Struthio camelus: one gene and its partner. The protein of the gene in region 1 binds, or shares a complex with, the protein of each later gene. Links are inferred from orthologs where the notes say so. Each region holds a gene or a part of one and is shown on either strand. Other genes may lie near its edges. The genes, in order: INTS2 and INTS12.

The links.
Region 2: INTS2 (region 1) and INTS12 share a complex: the UniProt entries of both Homo sapiens proteins name them as parts of the integrator complex. The link is inferred for Struthio camelus from reciprocal best matches to the Homo sapiens genes INTS2 and INTS12.

Annotation. Positions count from the first base shown.
Region 1 is NC_090957.1:18,829,692-18,839,894, forward strand, and holds the start of INTS2 (integrator complex subunit 2), read left to right. Parts: upstream 1-5,996; 5' UTR 5,997-6,092; coding exon 6,093-6,385; intron 6,386-6,509; coding exon 6,510-6,648; intron 6,649-7,363; coding exon 7,364-7,466; intron 7,467-7,722; coding exon 7,723-7,836; intron 7,837-8,530; coding exon 8,531-8,661; intron 8,662-8,770; coding exon 8,771-8,944; intron 8,945-9,460; coding exon 9,461-9,687; intron 9,688-10,203. Other genes in the region: MED13 (mediator of RNA polymerase II transcription subunit 13), read left to right, coding at 1,001-1,101, 1,855-1,987. UniProt on the Homo sapiens protein: Component of the integrator complex, a multiprotein complex that terminates RNA polymerase II (Pol II) transcription in the promoter-proximal region of genes.
Region 2 is NC_090945.1:26,090,693-26,100,768, reverse strand, and holds the start of INTS12 (integrator complex subunit 12), read right to left. Parts: upstream 3,832-10,076; 5' UTR 3,589-3,831; intron 1-3,588. UniProt on the Homo sapiens protein: Component of the integrator complex, a multiprotein complex that terminates RNA polymerase II (Pol II) transcription in the promoter-proximal region of genes.

The DNA of each region.
Region 1 (10,203 bases):
AACGTTATTAGCTGAAGTAGCAAATGCTCTAATGGGTTCTGCTCCTTCTGATGATTTCTTCGTAGTAGCCTGGTCTCCTTTTTCTTACCGGCTTTATGCTGTGGTATTTCGTAAGGATAGGTGTTCTCTTGCCTTTCTGGCCAGAAACTCACTGGTTAATGTTTGACTCCCTTTGGAACTGATGGTAGAGGAAGTACACAAGTATAATGTAATATCACATTTACACTGGGTAAAAATAATCTCTGTTTATGTATTGCATTAAAGCATAAAAGCTAGATTTTCAATGTTGGTTGTTTCCAAGTGATAGTCATTGCCCCCATCTGTCTGCATATTGTCTGATCTCCTTATCTTTTTATGGTACAATCAAGGCAGAGTTGGCAAACTTAAAGCTGTACATTAGTATACAGAGAAACTTTGCGCATTGGCATTATTAATTCTTGACTTAATGTAACATCTCTAATACTATGTTATCTAACGATACTGATCTACTTTCTTCAGCCTTATTTGTGTCTGGATTAGTGGTGCCTCTTGGCCTAAGCTCAACTGTGTTTTTGGTATAGGACTTTTTTTTCTTTTTTTTTCTTTTTTTTTTTTTTAAGGAAGATTTATTATTTAGCTTAAGTAGCTCTATTTATGGAATGTAAATAGACTGGTCTTATGGAAAGCAACTGAACTTTAAAGTTCATATATTACTAGAAATCTTGGGCCACTTGGGTCACTTTTTAATTTATTTTTAAATAATCACTTAATGTAGGCAAAGGGATTTAAAAATAAATGTTTCCTAAGATATGTTATGCTATTAGCACTCTGCTTTTATGAGTGCATTTCCTCATATTCTGATAATTCCGGTGCTTGTTAACTGTATAAGGTTAAAACATGGTTTGGCTTGCGTGTCACACAATAGAAAGTGGCTGAAAGGTACAGACCAACAATATAGGGGGAAAAGTATGTTGTAGTAGAATCAAGTAGTAACTGCTAGCGTTTCCTCTTCCTTTCTTAGGCCTCTTTGCACCTCCACGTGCCTTCAGTGCAATCAGACGAGCTACTCCACAGTAAACACTCCCATCCACTTGATTCTAATCAAACTTCTGATGTGCTCAGGTATTTATGATTGATCACTTACAAAAATATTCTGCATGTCATTTTTCATACTGCTGTTGTAAAGTTACATATTTATTTATTTTTCTTGCTATTAAGTTTTCTTTTTTGTGCTGCTGATAAATACTTAAGTACTTCACATAGACACATTGTAAATTACTGTGCTTTGAGTGATTAAAAGATGGCTTTATCCCAGTGCAATTAAAAAAAAAAGAAAAAAGAAAAACCCTAAAACATCTCAAAGCCCTTTTTAAACTAATGTTGATTACAACTGAAAATATTTGAAAGACAATGAATTCCTCCAGCTAGAAGGGAGTTTGAGGTGTAACATCGAAGATGGTGCATAAACGAATGGAAGAAGATTATAGATGAAGTTGTTAAGCCAGAATCTTGCATGGGTTGTGGGAACAGTGAAGTGCTGAAGCAGAAAAGAGTAGACCCATGAAAAAATGGGACACGTGTTGATGAGGAAAAAGTCGGACGTCTCTAGATTTTTATTTTCATATGCAAGTCTCCTGATATTAGTTAAGCATCAACAATTAAAATGGCAGTTTTTCACTGAGAATAAAAAAAAGGTTTAGCTTTGACCTGCTGTAATAGTTCTGAGAGCATGTTATTTCAGAATGTTGGCAAAACTATTTTGTGTGTTCAGTACTAAAGAAACTGGATTTTTATTAAATTAGGACTATAAAATGCCTTCTTGAAAACAGTGGTGGGAAAATCTGTTGGCTTGATGGAAGCTTGTTTGCTTTCTAGGTTTGTTCTGGAACAGTACAATGCACTCTCCTGGCTAACCTGTGATCCTGCAACCCAGGACAGACGGTCATGTCTCCCAGTTCATTTTGTGGTGCTGAATCAGTTGTATAACTTTATCATGAATATGCTGTGATCTTCATCTGAATTTTGAAAGACAAGAATGAGGAAAAGGGATATTTCACTGCAGGACTAAGTTATAAATTCTTCTCAGTGCAAGTTGTTTGTGATGGGGTATGAATCTTGTTACTTCCAGCAAATATTGCTTTGGCTTGTGAGAAGGGCATCTATAACCCTACTGTCTTTGATGCAATGACTCTGGGGGACTCTTTAGAATGATGATCAGAATGTGTATTATAACATTTTTAGTAGCAAAATTAACCATTTTTCCCCAGTCACAGTATTTGTGAAGAGTAATGAGCCATAGTACCCAGTCATGGTTAATGAATTTTAAAGCATGGAGATGAGAAGAAACAGGAGGAACAATAAGTTTCAACCTATGGCTTCAGAACATCAAGATGTTCTTGTATTGGATTATAGTACCTAGTATTCAAAAAATGCCTGCATCTCTTATTTATTGTAAGTTTTTAAATGTATAAATTGTCTTATATTTCTTAACCTCTTTTATAAAAATTTTCCTAGAAGGTTTATACTGCCTTCTTGCTTTAAAGCAATTGGTCTAAAATATATGTAATCGTCTTAATTAAAAGTTGCAGTAGGTTGCTTTTAGAGTATTATTTTTTTGTAAGGGGGTGGGTGGGGACAGTAAATTTGTATTGTCTTGATGTACAGTTTAATGGGGATAGAGGGGTTAATGTCCATACCATTGTGTGTGGGGGATTTACAGCTAAGCTGTAGTTGCAGAGTACATGTACAGTAATGAAGTTCACTGTGTTTATATAAAATTGAAAAGGTACCGGGTCTTACAGCATTTTATATCACACCTTTACAGAGTAACAATGGCAATATATAAGTGATATTGTAGGTGGTTTAACTTGTAGTGAGAATAAAATGAATAAACTCTTCAACTGAAGTTTGTGTTATGGTTCAGGGCTGTGGCTAGATTCTCAGATCTGTTTCCAGTAGACAAGTTTTACTATTGCAAGGATATCTATTGTGCATTGTTGTTACCTGGATATTCTTGGCACCGTGGTGACTGCACTATTTTCTTTCACGTTTGTGGCAAAACACAAATCTGAGTCGGAACACACAGACACAGAAAACTCTGACCTTATCCAAAGTCTCCTGCAAGGCTGAAATTTAGCCCAGCTCTAGCCATTTTACAAATGAAAAAAATAGTCAATCTTGACTTTAAGATTGGTGTGTGTTTAACTAAAATGTGGTGTATATAGATTCTCAGTGAATTCTGGTATTCAGACTTTATTCCACTAGTAAAAAGCAAAACACAACCCTGAATGTTTTCCTTTTTCATGTATTTTGGCACGGAGGTGAAGGTCTCGAGTATCAGTGCATGGCCTTCCCCTTATCCCCTTTTCAGACTCCGGCTGGGGCATGTGCCAAGGAGGCTTAGCCCTCCCTAAGGAAGGGTCTCGTGAGTTATAAGGCTTTTGTAAACCTCTCCCTCTATCTACAGTCGCCCTTTTTCCTCAGTAGTTTCCTTCCATTCTCTCAGCACATGCCAAATGTCTGATGCTGCTCTAAAATGGCCCCTACGGGTGCTGAGGAGCAACAGCATTTTTTTTTTTTTTCCTTTGGTTCCTCATCTTCTGACTGCCAGGGTAAAGACTTACTCCTGCAGTGCCCACGTGAGCCTGTTGAGAGAACCCATGCTAGTTTATCACCTGGGTCTCAGTACTGTTCATCTTGCCTGCTTAAATCTTGAAAGGAGCAAGTTTTAAGATACATTGGGGCACCCACTGTTAATCCTCTACAACGAAGAAATCACTTGTATTTACAAAACTTATTATGTTGGTGAAAATTATGTTTTGTAAATGCAAAATATTTGCCTGAGATCATTTTTCCTTGAATTGTGTATATGCAAAATTAGCGACTTTTTTTGTTTTTGTATAAAGAAGTTGTACAATTGGTGACAAAAATTTTCAGTAGTTTCTTCAGAAAAAACATGAGTGCAATCAGAAGTCAGCATATTTTGATATTAAAGGTAAAAACCTGGGTCTGTCCATTACTTTTTCTTGATATAATGATAATGTACTGCAGATTAAACAGCACACTTCTGTTTTAGAGCAGGTGTTTTCTTTCTCATTTGGCTGAGATTAAGGGGAAAAGTGCATCTAAAACTGGAGTTTTCAGAGCACGTGTCTTTTTTGTTTCGTTTTGTTAAATCTGACTTGTATCCATAAAGGTAAGTGAATCGGCTGCCTGAGCATTGGTATAACTGTACTCTGTTATCTGGACCACAACCTTCCCTGTGAAACTCCAACTGTGAAGTCTGCCTCTCCCCTCCCCCCTCCCCATGTCCCCAAATGCAGTTTAAGTAAACTGTCATATTGTAACCACTAGAAAAGATCAGGAGGGCCATTTTTGGAAGTGATGGTCACAGCCAGCAATGTGCATATCAAAACTGCCATCCCCATGGAGCCAGCTACTACATTGGGCGTGCTTTTTTGTTGGTTTCATTCACTTAGCCATTTTCCTCTTTTAAGGGCACATAATTAGTGATTTATGAATAAAATTGTCACAATCCAATAATTAGGGTTGTTTAGCAAGTACAAGCTTAATGTATTTGAACATTTCAGCCCTAGCTTCTCAAAATGGTTTTGCAAGAAAACATTGTTCCTGGCAGTGCTCTATTAAGAGGAAATAAACTTATACAGCTACTTACGTATGTTAGATAGCCAGTGAAAGATGCATCTGAGATCCTTCAGTTCAGATTTAAAAAAAAAAAAAAAAAAGTATTTTAATTTAGTTATACTGTGCTTAAGCCATGCAGTCATCTGGACTGTGACTTATACTGTTATTTGAATTAGGTTTCTGTAAGCATTGTTGCTAGACTGGCAGGCCACCAACTGTACTTGCAAACAACCCTCAAATTTTAAAGTAGCTGTAACATGTTAATCTTCCTAACGTTTCCGGAAATAAGTAAAAATAAATGAATTTATATTTAAATCCTCAGCTATGTTCTTACTTAGCTGTCAGTATGGCGCAGGTTACTGTATTTCTGTATTTACCTCCTATGGTAATTTTTAACTTCATGTGTTGCTATGAAGACTTGCAGATGTCTTTATTCAAGCACTATTTGTTAATACTGTAATATCAAAATATGTTACACTATTTTAAAGCTTTCAAAAATAAGAGTAAAATGTTTTTAAAATGCTATTGCATCATATAATTTGCTGCGTAACGGTATGGCACAGCATATCAGTCTGTTTTAATAGTAATGCTGCATAAACAATGTTTGGACTGGGTTTCTTTTGAGAATTTGTTTTCTGAATTAGGTGATAGCGTATGACACTACTGTCTTGACAACCTGCACTGGGGAAGGTTTTTTTTGTCCTTAATTAAAAGGATCCAGGACTATTCCGGGGTGGTGGTGTGGGGGGAGGAAGAGTGGTGGGGGCGCTGTGGGCGCTGTACATCCTGTTTTTTTAGCGGAGTAAAACTTAAATTTACAGCAAAACTGGATTTGGGACCTACCATAATCCTCAGGGTCACTTTTCAGGAAGTTACTCGTCTAGCTCTCGCTGTTCCCGAGTAAACTGGATGTCAGGAGCTGGCGGAGCCGGCTGCAGCCTGTCGCCTCGGTCCTGGACGCGCCCCCCCGCAGCCGGGTCGCGTTACCGGGGCCCTTCTTAAGTTCGCACACGGCGCTGACGGTTACTGGTCCGAGCCGTCGCCTTTATCGTGACAAAACGTGACTGAGGAACAAACGCTATTGCTGCCGAATGCCATAAACGCTGAGTTGTACAAATTGTGATTGAGGAAATGGAGAGAGAGAGAGAGAGAGAGAAAAGGTTTATACTTTTTAAAAAAAAATTTCAAATGGAATAAATTATTCATGAAGCCTTGCTTGCGCTGTCTCTTTATTTACGGCGGGGGCCGAGCAGACGTCCGGGGGAGGGGGGGGGCGCCGTCCCCTCCCCCCTCCCTTCAGAGCGGCCTTCCCGCCGGCGGCGCGCGCGCGCGCACCCGGCCGCCCAACGGCCGCCCGCCGCGGGGCCGACCTCACTTCCGGCGGTGACGCGGGCGGCGCGCGCCGGAAGGCGGCGGTGGCCGGCGGCCGTGGAGCGTGGCCGGTCGCCGCCGCGGGGCCGGGCGCCGCCATGGCGGAGTGCTCCGGCCTGCAGTTCGTGAGCCCCTACGCCTTCGAGGCCATGCAGAAGGTGGACGTGGTGCGGCTGGCGGCGCTGAGCGACCCCGAGCTGCGGCTGCTGCTGCCCTGCCTGGTGCGCATGGCGCTGTGCGCCCCCGCCGACCAGAGCCAGCGCTGGGCGCAGGACAAGAAGCTCATCCTGCGGCTCCTCTCGGGCGTGGAGGCCGTCAACTCCATCGTGGCCTTGCTCTCGGTGGACTTCCACGCCCTGGAGCAGGACGCCAGCAAGGAGCAGCAGCTGCGGTAACGGCGCGGCGGGCGCTGCCCCGGGAATTGCGGTCTGCCTTTAGCTGAGGAGGTGTCTGTGCTCGTCGGGCTCGTTTGTTTGTTCTTTAACGGTTGTCGTTGCGTTTCCGTTGTCTGTTAGACACAAGCTGGGAGGAGGCAGTGGAGAGAGCGTCTTGGTGTCGCAGCTCCAGCACGGTCTGACGCTGGAGTTTGAGCACAGTGATTCGCCTCGTCGGCTTCGTCTTGTGCTTAGTGAATTACTAGCAATTATGAATAAGGTAAAATTTCGCTTCCCCGTCGCTCGGCGTTTGTGAATTTTATATCCCTGAAAGCGAAGAACCAGAAAGCTGCAGGCGGGATGTGCTGAAATAACGCCAGGTTGCGTTGCTGGTGCTGCCGGTGCGTGTCAGGGCCGTTCTCCGGTCCGTAGCTGCTTCGCCGAGACTTAAACTCTGTCACGTAAACTCCTCGTGAACCCAGCTTCCCAGAGAAAGTCTTTCTTCCTCCCGGCAAGGAGGGCAATCTTTTCTTAACAGGCTCTGTACGTTCTATAACATGCTGCACTTAAATACAATGCGATGGCTTATAAGAGCAGAAATCATGTTTCAGGATGATGTTGTAGCTTTTCCTTCTGTCCTTTTTTTTTTTTTTTTTACTGCTATTGCAGTAATATGCACCACCACGTTTCTCACTTTTCTCTGTGTTTTATGTTCTTCTGTTAAACTTACCCTGTTTATAGACTTCTTAGTAAGCTGTTTTTCTGTTTTCCGGAAAGAAGCAACGATACCAGCGGTGTTTAATTATCTTTACTAGTAAATATTGCTTGTTCTAAGCATTTTTGCTTGCCTGTTCTGTTTATAGCTGTACATTTTTGACAGTTTTTAATACGTTCAATCTGTTGAATTCAAAGCTCTGAAAGTCTGACAGGTGCTGATTGAGTTATACAAATCACTTCATGAAACCTGTTCTGTGATGATGAACGTTGTCTTATAGGTGTCAGAATCAAACGGTGAGTTTTTTCTCAAATCGTCCGAGCTCTTCGAGAGTCCTGTCTATCTGGAGGAAGCAGCAGATGTTCTCTGCATTCTGCAAGCAGGTGTAGTGCTCTGTATTTATAGTGCTTTCCTTAATGCTGTTTTGCTTGTGACTTCGCTACTTACAAACGTAAAAAAAAAATTACCCTAACTTTTGGAGCTCTCCTAGCTGAATTAAGATTAATGTTGGATGTCTAGCTCTTTGGAAGAGGAATAGACCAAAGAGTAATCTTTCATTCGTTAACTTGAGCACGTTACATAAATTTATATTAAAAGCTACTGTTTTACAGTGACTTATGAGATCCTCTTTTTATCCAGAGCTGCCATCGCTGTTGCCCATAGTTGATGTAGCTGAAGCTCTGTTGCACGTTAAAAATGGAGCCTGGTTCCTGTGCCTCCTAGTGGCCAATGTTCCCGATAGTTTTAACGAGGGTGAGTTACAGTTTCTTCTTGCCAAGCTTTCTTTTTGTAAAGCTTTGAAATAATTTCCAGCAATCAAATTGATTCTAGGCTAAGCAGCATAAATATTTGAACTGAGGAGCGCTTGGCTTGTGAAATGCACTTTGGATGCATTTATACTTAGAGATGCTGAAAGGCCTCTCGTTCTCATCGCATTCACTACCTATTTCTGCAGCGTACTTCAGACTCATTGTGTGCCTGTTGCAGTTTTTCATCTGTAGGTCACCTTTATAAAGGCTGATTCAGACAGTGAATGATTGGGTCTAGGAACCTGGTCTGTCCTTGCTAATTGTCCTTGTCTCTCAGAGCGAGGCATGTTATGAGGTGAAAAATTCATACTGCCGTTGCCCATTTATTATCACTTATGTAGCAAGAAGACTTCAGTCTGCAGGGCTGCCAGGTGCACAGGTTGCGTTAGACAGAGTATGAGCAGTAATTGAATGATGCCTAAATCTGTAATGACCCTATAATTTCTCTGAGGAGAAACACCGTTTCCTTATTCTACTGATACAGCGTTGATCAACAGTTCTTCCCTGGCACAAGGTTCGTGTGGCTCAGTTAATAAATCACAGTCCGCTGAATGAAAGGGCTCGTCTTGTGTTTATATGTTTACGTGGCTTTCTGCTGGAAAGGCCAGATTTACTTAGACCTCCTCTCGAATGTTTAGTCTGTAGAGGTTTGATTAAGAACGGCGAGCGGCAGGATGAGGAAAGTGTTGGAGGCCGTCGTAGAACAGAAGCACTTCGTCACCTGTGTAAAATGAACCCTTCCCAAGCTTTAAGGGTCAGAGGCATGGTGGTAAGTCTGTAATTGTTCTATCACGAGACAACACGCAAATCATAATTGTGATCCTTATTGGAGCATTAAAAAACAAAAAAAAAAGATTGAGCTCGGCTATTTTGTCTAGGTGGAAGAGTGTCATCTACCAGGTCTTGGTGTTGCTTTGACCCTGGATCACACCAAAAATGAATCTTCAGATGATGGAGTGAGCGATCTGGTGTGTTTTGTGAGTGGTTTGCTACTTGGAACAAATGCTAAGGTTCGGACTTGGTTTGGAACTTTTATCCGAAATGGCCAACAGGTAGGTACGCTTTTGAATATTCGCTTTCAAAAACTATTTTTGTAAGCTGCTGTAACTTGTCTGGATGTGGGCGTGCACATTTGTCTGAAAGTGCATAGCTCCTATGTTGCTTCTTGCCACAGCCTTTACAAGGCAAATGGGACCATCAGATCTCTACATAGTATTACTGAAGACAGCTATGTCATTGTTCCTCTGAGAGATTTTTAGGTACGTGATCCAATAGCCATGGAAACGAGGGAATCATAAATCAGTAATGTTTAGCTGGTATATGTGTTTGTGCTCAGTATTTGCAAGGGAAAATTGTGTCTTGACTTGCTTAAAGCTTGTGTTTCATTGAAATAAACCATTGTAACATGATCGTGTGTTACCTGTTACCCTGGTACTGAAAATTTTATTAAAAAATGCCCCCCCTCCCCATTCTTTTTTTCTTGTCTTTGTCATTATGGAAGCTTTTATGTAATAAAACGTCTGATGACATGAGGTTTATATTGTTGTTTTCATCTTTTAACCTCTCAGAGAAAAAGAGATAATATCAGTTCTGTGCTTTGGCAAATGAGAAGGCAGCTGCTCCTGGAGCTCATGGGAATCCTTCCCACGGTTCGCAGCACACACATTGTTGAAGAAGCAGATGTTGATATGGAGCCAAATGTGTCTGTGTACTCGGGACTGAAGGAAGAACATGTTGTGAAAGCCAGCGCATTGTTACGTCTCTATTGCGCTTTGATGGGAATTGCTGGGCTGAAGTAATGAATGTTTTAATGCTCTATGTTTTTTTTCGCTGTCTGTCCAATTTAAACAGAGGTTGGGATCTTTGGGCAATTTTAACGTAAGCTCTCTCCTAATGTCATTGTGTCCTTGAGCCGTTATTGGCAGGATGTGCCATTTTTAGTGCTGAGGGAGACACTTCTCGTGTGCCCAGGGCTGGAATTGCCAGCTGATTAAAGTTTCTTTATCGCTGTAGTGTAGAGAGAGCAAATACTATGTAACTATGCAGAGAGAGGTATGTTTTTTTGCTTTCCAGTACTACTCTTATCAGAAAAGCTTTTTATTTTTCTATTGGTGAAGATCCATGTGTAAACTACACTGGAAATGTTTACCTAAAATAATCATAATAGGAGAAATGCGCTCTCTTTAATGTTCCAAAATTCAATCCTATAGAAGCACTAAAAAAAAAAAAATCTAGGCCTCAGCCTTTGGAGCAGTGTAGAACAAAACAGCTGAAAACTCTAGCAACCTATGTTTTATGAACTTTTAACTTA
Region 2 (10,076 bases), on another chromosome or scaffold:
AGAGGACTTCTTCCATTATCCTCCCAGGGACGTAAAGCAGTGAGGCTGACCAACCTGTAGTTCCTTGGATTGTCCTTCTTGCCCTTTATGAAGACGGATGCAAGATTTGCCTTTCTACAGTCTCCGGGAATCTCCTCCAGTCTCCATGACCCTTCAAGAAGGGCAGAATGGGGTTTTGCAAAGATACTGTCAGCTCTCTTGGATCCCTTGAGTGCAGCTCATCTGGTCCCATGGTCTCGTACAGGTCACGTTTTCATGTCAGGCAATTCTTGCTTCAATCTTCTTCCACAACTGGTAGTTCCTCTTCACCCTGAGGCCTGCCTTGTGGCAAAAAGGCCTAGGAGACCTTGTCAGTGAAGTCTGAGACAAAGATGACACTGACTACCTCAACCTTATCTGCGTCTGCTGTCGCTAAATGACCTGTCCCATTCAGCAAGAGCACCACATTTTCCCAGTGTATCCTTTTCCTGATAATGCAGCAGCAGCAGCAGCTTGTCACCATTCACATCTTTTGCCAGGTTCAGCTCAAGTTTCCCTTTGGCTTCCTAATGCCATACCCACGTGCCCAGACAATATTCCTGTAGTCCTCCTTCGTAGCTTGTTTCTGCTTCTGCCTCCTGGATACGCCTGTTTTGCTTCAGAGTTCTGTCCCGAGCTCCCCAATTAGTCAATCCAATCCTCTGCTTTGCCTGCATGTTTTCCTAAGTATTGGGATGGACTGTTCCTGTGCTTGGAAGAGGACTGTCCTTAAATACCAGTTATCTCCCTGAGCTCCTTTGCCCTTCAGAGTTGTCTCCCATGGCATCTCACCTGCTGTTCCCTGAAGAAGTCAAAGTCTGCTCTCTTGAAGCACAGCTTTATTCTGCTACTCACCCTCCTCACTCCCCTCAGGAGCCTGAACTCCACTATTTCATAGTTACTACAGCCAAGGTTGCCATTGATTATCATGTTTCCAGTCAGTTCTTCCTTGCTCATGAACTGCAGATTCAGGAGACCACATCCCCAGGCTGGCCAATCCGTTGGTCCATACTGGTGTTAAGATGTTACTCTCAGCTCACCCTAAAAATCTCCTGGAGTGCTTGCATCCCACTGCACTGCCCTCCGAGCAAATAGTGGGGAGGGTCTGTGATGTGGACACTTCCTCAACTTACTTAAAGAAGAAATCATGCATCATTTTCTCTGGATCAAGTGGTCTATAACAGACTCCCACGATGTTGTCACCCTTACTGGCTCCTCCTCTGCTCCTGACCCACAAGTTCTCGTGGTGACTGTCCCCCATATTCCACCAAAGAGTTCCATGCATCCATGCTGCTCCTTCCCCCAACAGGCAACCCTACACACACTATTCTTCCTGCGCATCTTTCCCAGGCAGCCTGTCTCCGTGTATCACAGAACTCCAGTCGCGCAAGCCATCCCATCACATGTCAGTAACTGAATCGTTTCATAGGTCTGTGACCGCACATAGCCTGTTTCCTCAGCTGCCTATACTCAATTCAGGCTTTGCAGTCTCTGAAGCTGCCTTTGACTGAGCCACTTCCTCCCCCTCAGCTACCAGAGCACTGTATCTATTCTGTAAATGAAGATCCAGGGTGGAAGAGGGCATTTTGGTAACATTATAATTTTGTTAGTGGTTTAGTCATTTAAGTTACTTCAGAATTTGGATAGACTGAATGTAATTGACTTCACGTTTTTCTTTTCTAATCTGAGAATCTAGACAGTTCCTCAGCCTTTAATAAGTAAATCTAAAGCATGTATCTTCCTACCTTTAGATAATTTATTTTTTGTAAAAAAAAAAAAAAAATTGATTAAGAGGAAAATAATCCCATTTTTTCCTGCACTACCCTCAGCCTCTTGAGCTGGATTCTGCACAGCTTACTGGTCTAGCAAGTCAACATCTCTCTTGCCACCTTCCCAACCCTGATACAATACCATATTTGTTTTTTTATCCAGCTAATTGCTGTTCAAGTATAATTCCAGCCATCTTTAATATCAGATTTGATTTTTATTCACATTCTTTTCTTATGATCCACTATTTTTTTTCAGATAGCCACCTGAAATAAAGTGCACAGATAAAAGAGGATACAGACTTAATCCTGTGCATATCCCAGTCTAGTAAGACTCTTTGAGCCTAAAGTTCACAGAGAGAGATTATCCACCAGAGCTATCTGCAAAACAGTGGAAACTTAAAAGAAATATTCTATTTGATTAAAAAAATCAAAACAATTAATTTAAAAAACAAATATAAAAGAGGTGACAGAACAATAGCGTACAGAATTCACTTGGGATAGAGAAGATCCCCTGCGTCAACTCCTACTTATACATATAATTAATTCAAACATAAGTTTCTCACAGCCCTTTCGAGTGGTGTTATCCTAAGCCCATTTATTGTTCAAAAGCAAGTTAACACGTCTTTGGTTCCAAGTACAGGTTCTATGTTAGATTGGAATTCCACACATGATGTTTCATCAGTTACCCTTCTAAAAAAGGTTTTTGTTCTGATAAAGCTATGCTGCCACACAAATGGTTTTGTCAAAACCAAGTAAATGAGATAATCGTACCTATGCAACCGAGATTTGCTAACCCCTACTACCACAAAGCTTCAGAGCTCTGCAAAAATGGACCTAAAAACACTGTTTAAATAGGTGCCACTGCTTATTAGTTTAAATCACTAGCAAATTATTACCTCTCTTCATTATCTTTTTCACCCCTTCCTAGTTCAAATGATTTGCTTACTGAAACTCATTAGGTGTGCAAATGCCCTAGATATCATTTTCCTGGTGATTTCCAGGTGGAAGCTGCAAATTTTAGTCAAAACTGAATTTTTGGGTCAGTTACACCAAAGCCACAACCCCACACTCTGCAGCATATTTGCTGCAAGTTTCCCTTCTTATTTCCTTTAAGAATGAATAAAGGCTTCTTATTTAAAAACTCTTTTTTAAAGAAAATAAAAGCTCTCTATGCCTCCATATGCTGCAGTCCAAAAAAATAACTTACAATTTCGGCTGAAATGCATACGTCTTGTAAAATAGGGCATACATGAGCTCTATTTGCTTGGTCTGTTCCTTCCCGTCCCCAGCGGTGGCTCCGTGTGCTCTGTGCTATTGAGCTGAGCCCAGGGCAAGTCCCCACCACAAAGAAAGAGATGAACCCCTCTGCCTAATTACAGCGCTAACAACGCAATCAGCTGACACTAAACTCTAGTGCCTTGACTTGAACACCCAGCTAAGAGAGACTAAAGAGAGAGAGAAACACAGCTCAGAGTGCTACGACTAGAGGTGGAAAGCGTCTGCTAAACTCACTGCCCTGAGAAGAGCGGCCCGAAAGGCAGCTCCGGGGCTGGGGGCACCCTGCCACACCCGCTACCACCAGGATTGAACCGGTCCTGGAGCCCCGGCAACGAGCGCGCCGCTGCGGAGGAGGGGGGGGGGTGCAACTGCCCGCAACCGCTTCAAACTCTTTTCCAACCGCCATCGCCGACAGGGCCACCCCTCCCCCCACGCCGGCACCAGCCGCCCCTCGAGCCGCAGAGTAACGGTCAGAGGGGTCTCGTGCTCTCCCAGCCCCCTCACCAGGTGCCCTCTCCCTTACCTGCGGGCCGGCACGGCACGGCCGGGCACGAGCGAACGGGTGACTGAGGGCGTCCACCGAGACCACCACCACCACTACCTCCCGCCCGCCCCCCCGGCTCAGCCTCCAAGCCGCGTCCGTCGCCTTTCGCGTCCCCCCGCGCAACGAGAGCCCCGAGGCGGCGGGTTCCGGTCGTGCCCGCGTGGAGGAGGGAGGGAGGGAGGGAGGAAGACAACCGGAGCGGGCGCTCGCGCAGGAAGGGGCGGGGCCAGGGCGGAAGCGGCTGGGCGACGTGCGGGACAGGGTAAGCGGCCGTTGGCGCCCGCCTCGCGCGCCGGGCCCGGAGCCGTTGGGGATTGAGGGGGGGCGGTCTCCACGCGACCGTTACTGGCGGCGGGAAGAGGCCGGGGGTGGTGGCGACGGAGGGAGAACGGGCGCCGGGTATCGGCGCGCCGCCTTCGGCAGCCCGGCGTTTGCCGCCTCCTCCCCTCACGGCTCGCTGACCGCGAAGCGCGGCGCCTGCCCGTGCCCTCGTTGCCGTTAGCTTTCTGTTTCCTGAGCGAGGTTTGGCTGGAAACTGGCGGTCGAGGCGTTTATTGGTGAAGAGCACTAATAACTGATGAAGGAAAAGACACCTGTAGTCTTCCTCATCTGGCAGTTGGGGGACTCTTCTTTAAGCTTTTCTCCATCTGCCGCCCCCCCCCCCCAAACCACCAAAAAAAGCTGGAGTCTGGTTTTCAGTGATTCTCCGTGTCTGAACACTTGGTCTGCTTTTTCTGGACTGACAGACTGCTGAGTGAAGGTCGCAGTGCAGGCTTTATGTCATCGTTCCGCAAAGGAATTTTTACTCAGTGGCATTATTTTCTGCAATAATTGAACTTTAGTGTGCTGCCTTGCTAAGGTTTGTCTTGTATTCTTCATACTTTACTTTGCTGAAATACATATATTTTTTATTGGTATACTAGTCTGAAATTCAGATGCCTCTCTATTTCTCTCTGGTTTGAAAATCATACAGTTATTTGGATTCACTTGAGGATATAACGGTAGCCCTAAAGTTTACAAGCAAATTGGTCTGGTGAACAGACATCTAATTCAGATTTGCAAAGTTATCTCTCTTAAAGCACAAATACTGTTTTCTGTTAAGCTAAATATTTGTTAGAGGAAACTATGTCTTTAAATGACTTGCAACATCAAACACTTCACAAACATTACTGTCTCTATTTTAAAAAAACCTTTTGTTTTCCTATAGAATAATCAACAAATAAACAAGGTCCTTTTCAGGAACTAAAAGGAAGTGAATGTTTGTGTTTTGTGTGTGTGGGTTTTTTTAGTTTTTCATTTATATTTCCTGGAAACAGTTTTTTTTAAACACTTTTCTGTACTATATCACTAGCGTGATAGCTCAGTAAAACTAATTTAGCTGGAATTTAGTGCCTGTAGAGAGAGAAACAGAAATGGTAACAAACAATATTACTAGTGAAAAATAAGCATGATTAATAGATATTAAGCAGCTCAACATGATTGTTACACTAAATGTAGACAAAAAACTTTTTTCTTGTCTTTAAAGTATGTTGCAAATACTGTGATGTTTGTTATTTTTGTCCAGCTGACTTCTTCATTTCACAATATCAATAGCAGCTACTGTAAATATGAGTAATATAGCATACAAGTCCATCTCTTCCCACACTCTTCCTTCTCTAATTAAACTGTAAAACGTGTGGGAAGAGGCATTACCATCAAGACAGTGAACAATCTGATATCCTGTAAGTTTTGTTAGTGCTATGTTTTGTTTTATTGTGAATGTCTGGGTGTTTCTCTCTCAGTAAGCTGCCAGTGGATCCTTAAATTAACCACCTTTAACAGCAGGGTGGCAGTCATATACATACTTTCAAAGGAAAGGCTGTGCTTAAACACAGAAGTAAGATGTACCCTGCAGAGCCAAAATAGTGGGGAAAAACAACTAAATTTGAAGAAGGAGGGGGAAGGTAAAAACCCAGGCTTTATAAAGATCTGTGCTTAGGGATAGGCTGTTAGTATCTAAACTAAAAGATGGGAGTGGGTTGACATATGGTAGTGCAAGCGTGTACAGTTGGTTGAAGTGATTATGCAAGAAGGGCTTGAGTACATTTGCACAAGGGACAATTGAAAGAAACGCAGGTAAGTCATTTATAGATAGAACTCCCAGAGAGATTTATTTTGCTTTCTTTTCTGTAAAAGACTTGTTTGGAACAAAATTAACCTAGTTGTAGTTTATATTATATTTATAGACTGAACTTCAAAATCCACAAGGGAATCCCTTAAGGAAAATGTCAATTGCTCTAGGACACGTTCCCTGTGTGACATTGAGTTAAAAACTCCCCTTGTGCTTCAGCCTTTTCTCTTACATAACGGAAATTCAGGAACCTTTGTCCTTACGAGGCTATTGGGAGGCAAGTCCCAGTGATGAGGTAGCATTTTTTTTTTAACTTTATTGGTATACCTATCTGAAATTCTGATGTTATGATGATGAGGCATAAACATTTTTACAGTAACTAACTGTATAAATAAATCCAAATCAAATGTTCTGCTGCTCTATTGAAATAAGTGTGTTTATATAACGATTCACAGTCATTACAGAAGCACATTTTGTTTAAAAATGCTTTTAGAAGTTTTAGGGTTATTGGAAATTATCAGAAGTATAAAAGCAATAGCGTCAGTGCTGAAAAGCTCAGCGCAGAAAGCAGAGTGACATTTTTTGCCACTAGTCCTCCCTATCTTTTAGTCTGAAAAAGCCTGCCTGTTTTTTGGTCTTGATCTGAAAAGTACATAACTTACAACATCCACTTCTCTTCCAGTTTGCTAAGAAACTGCAAACTTTTCTCCAAAGCAGTGAAAGAACAAAATTTAAATTGACACAAAAGTTAAGGAAAAAAATACTAGTAAGCATCATATTCGATTAACCATTTTTAGTATATGGTTGCAATAAGGGGAGAAGATTCAGTGCTTCCTGTGGGAGCTAGTGAAGAGTTATTACTGTGATCTACTCATGAATGAGACAATAGATATCAGTGGTGTCTATGCAGTGTTGAACTGCATGTATGGATTAGGACAAACTTCAGAACTTGGGCTTTTCTAACAATGGTGACGCGTGCTGTTCTTTTATTTTAACCGTACACAGCAAAACTTGTTACCAGGGCAAAAGCCACGTTTCTGGTATTAGCTAATGTGGATGATGAAAACTTTGATGAGCTCTGAAGTATCTTTGTTGTAATATTTAAATAACAGTGCCTTTATCTTGATAATTCTAGAAAATGAAGTGATTAAATGGGGTAGAGGAAAATCTTTTATTTAAACCATTACCAGGAACAGAGGATAGGGACCCTTTGAACATAGCAGGTGGCTTTGCATTGGTCACTATCTGTCTGAGACTGGAAAAGAAAATTTCCTAAATAGATGCTTGAGGTAATGTTACCGAACTAACTTTTTGTGTCTAAAAGGTTTTTGATGTCTAGAGAAATAAGAGCAAGAGAAACCTGGATTAATCTAAATCTCCTAACTTAAAGATGAATTACAAACAAAAACCCGTAAGTTACCAAGCTAGGTTTATCATTTGACAGTTGCACAGACTATGGAACTTAGAGGTCAGAAATTACACTGCCCATCTCGAGGTAACTGTTTGTGAAAAGTAAAGGCAAGAGAACTTTTAGTACTGCTTTCTGAAGTTGAAAGTGTATTAGAGAGGGACACCTGCATTTATAATTCAGAGATAGGTAAAAGGTGACTTACAAAAGGTTTCCTCAACTGTTGAGCTCTAGCTGTTTTTCTAATTGCTTCCTTTGTGGGGTAACACCTGCAGAATTTATGAGATGCAGTGCAGGTGGAGAAAGAGCAGGAGGCAAAATGGTCCTTTTTAAGGGGCTGGATGTGTGGAAGAAAAGGGAGGGAAATCATCAGCTATACTTGATGCAGTTCTGGGAAAGTGAGAGGAAAAAGATCTAGATGATAAAATGATTGTGAGTTCACAAGCTGCGAGTTCAAGAGATAGGAGAATAAGTGTTAAATACATGCAATATCCTTGGGACTATATAGGAAAAAAAATCCCAGTGTTTCTTTGTGAAGATGAATGATCTCATAAGATAGAAACAGAATAGTAGAATACGAGAATGAAATAAATAATTTTCTGTGTGTAATGTGTTCAGAGTGAAATGATGCATATGTGGCTTTTGTGTAGCTTGAAATGGTAAAAGAGGCAGGGTCTGATTGTGATTATAATAGCATAAGAATGAAGTACTCTTTCTGCCAGTGAGGATAATATTCCATGGACTAGCTGTTCAAGCCTCAAGCCACTTTCAACTATTTCAGGAGACCTCTGGGCCTGAAACGGAGTAGAAAGGAGAGAGTCGCTACGAGTTGTGCTTGTAGTTGCAGCTTCCTTATTTCTTACGGTTGTCGCTCTCTTTGGACCTTTCCAGGTGCAGACTTGGGAGACTGAGTCGCAGATCAACAGCTACTTTAATTGTTATGTAGTCTAATCTTGTTCTGAGGAGGAGTACGCTACGTAGATAAGTACCTTCAGCAGTGAAATGTTGAAAAATTGCTATTTTCAGTTAGATGAAACAAAGAAGTGAAGAGTTAAGTGCGAGTATTGGGAAGAGAAAAGTGAAGCAAGCCTCAACAAATTGACAAGTGAATCTTAACCCTCATAAAATCAATAGGCAGAGTTTTAAAAAGACTTAGTTTCAGAGTTTTAAAAACACTTAGTTTGACATTTAAGCCTGAGTTCTTATGAATTTGGTGTGCTTGTTCAGGCTTCCTTGGAATTTACATGCAAATTGTTTGACAGCTGTGAAAGAGAAGTGTTCCTAGACCACTATGCTGGGAAGAGCAAAGGAGGAGGGAAACAGCTGGAGGGTGCAAACCGAAGCTTCGAGCCCAACGTTTTCTCTGTGTCCCTGCTGAGTGAAGCTCATCACTTCATCCCTGGGAGGGTAGCTGCAGAAACAGAAAAGTGTTATTGTCCTAAATGGACCCTAATTAAGAACATAATTTGTTCCACTCCACAGAATAGGTTTAATAATTCAGATCTAAATTAACTTTCTCAGCAGCAGAACAGGGAGTGCAGTTCTGAGAAACGACCTTCATTGTAGTACTGCTAATCTGAGAAGAGAAAGGGACGTTGGTTTAAAAAAAAAAAAAAGAGAGACTGGGACTATAGCTGAAAATAATGGAACTTTATATTGCAATTATGTCTCCAAGTCAGACTTCTCAAGTACTTGCAGGATCAGGGCCTTTTAGTTGAGAGACATCTGATTGCCTATAGGAATCAAAATGAAAAGGTATCATGGCACTACTGGAGAGAGTCCAGCGGACGGCTGCAAAGATGATCAGGGGACTGGAGCATCTCTCCTATGAAGAAAGACTGCAAGAGCTGGGCCTGTTCAGCCTGGAGAAGAGAAGATTGAGGCGATCTCATAAACGTGTACAAGTATCTGAAGGGGGAGTGTCAAGAGGATGAGGCCAGCCTCTTCTCCGTGGTGCCCAGCGACAGGACAAGAGGCAATGGGCAGAAACTGAACCACAGGCAGTTCCATCTGAGCATGAGAAAAAACTTCTTCACTGTGAGGGTGACAGAGCACTGGAACAGGTTGCCCAGAGAGGTAGTGGAGTCTCCTTCGCTGGAGAGATTCAAAACCCGTCTGGATGTGATCCTGGGCAATATGCTCTAGGTGACCCTGCTTGAGCAGGGAGGTTGGACTAGATGATCTCCAGAGGTCCCTTCCAACCTAAACCATTCTGTGATTCTGTATCATATAAATGATGAAATGACAAGTTGGTTTGTGAGGGTCTGGAAATCATTTGAGTGTGTAAGTCCTTATTCTCAAATTTAGGGCCTGGTCTTGTGAAATGATTAATGTTCTTAACTCCTTTTGAAAACAAAAGAAATGAGACATTTGTATCTATCATGAAGAGAGCTAGAGTTTACTTCCTGCTCTGGAGCTTACTGTGCTTCAGGTATAACATATTACATTTGTTTGCATTTTTTCATAAATTACCAGTTTACTCTTGGTTTGTAATTAGTTCAGAATAAATGACTGGAATGATTAATTATTGCTGTATTGTTACTGTTGCATTTTATTTATGTGATTCCTTAAAAGGAAGTTGTCATAATATTGACCATCTTAATCTTTGACTTTCTTCTTCCTCCTCCCATGTGTGGAGAGTCTAGCTAACTGAAACAGCTATCTTGGCTTAAAAATACTACATATGAAAACATGATCTAAAAAGTTTTGAATGCTTTTAAAAAAAATGGTATAACTAATGAAAGTTTTATAAATGAGTGGTATGTAAAGCTCTCTGTTTCCCTGGATAAATACAGCTTTAACAGATGCACAAAGCCTAGCTAAAGGAGAATCTAGCTTTTGGAAAAAATACCGTTATCTCCAACTAGAAGAAACTGTAGATAGGACATTTTTGTTTATCAGAAAATCAACAGCCAGAGCAGGTATTACAGCTTTGCTGAGTAAGAGCCC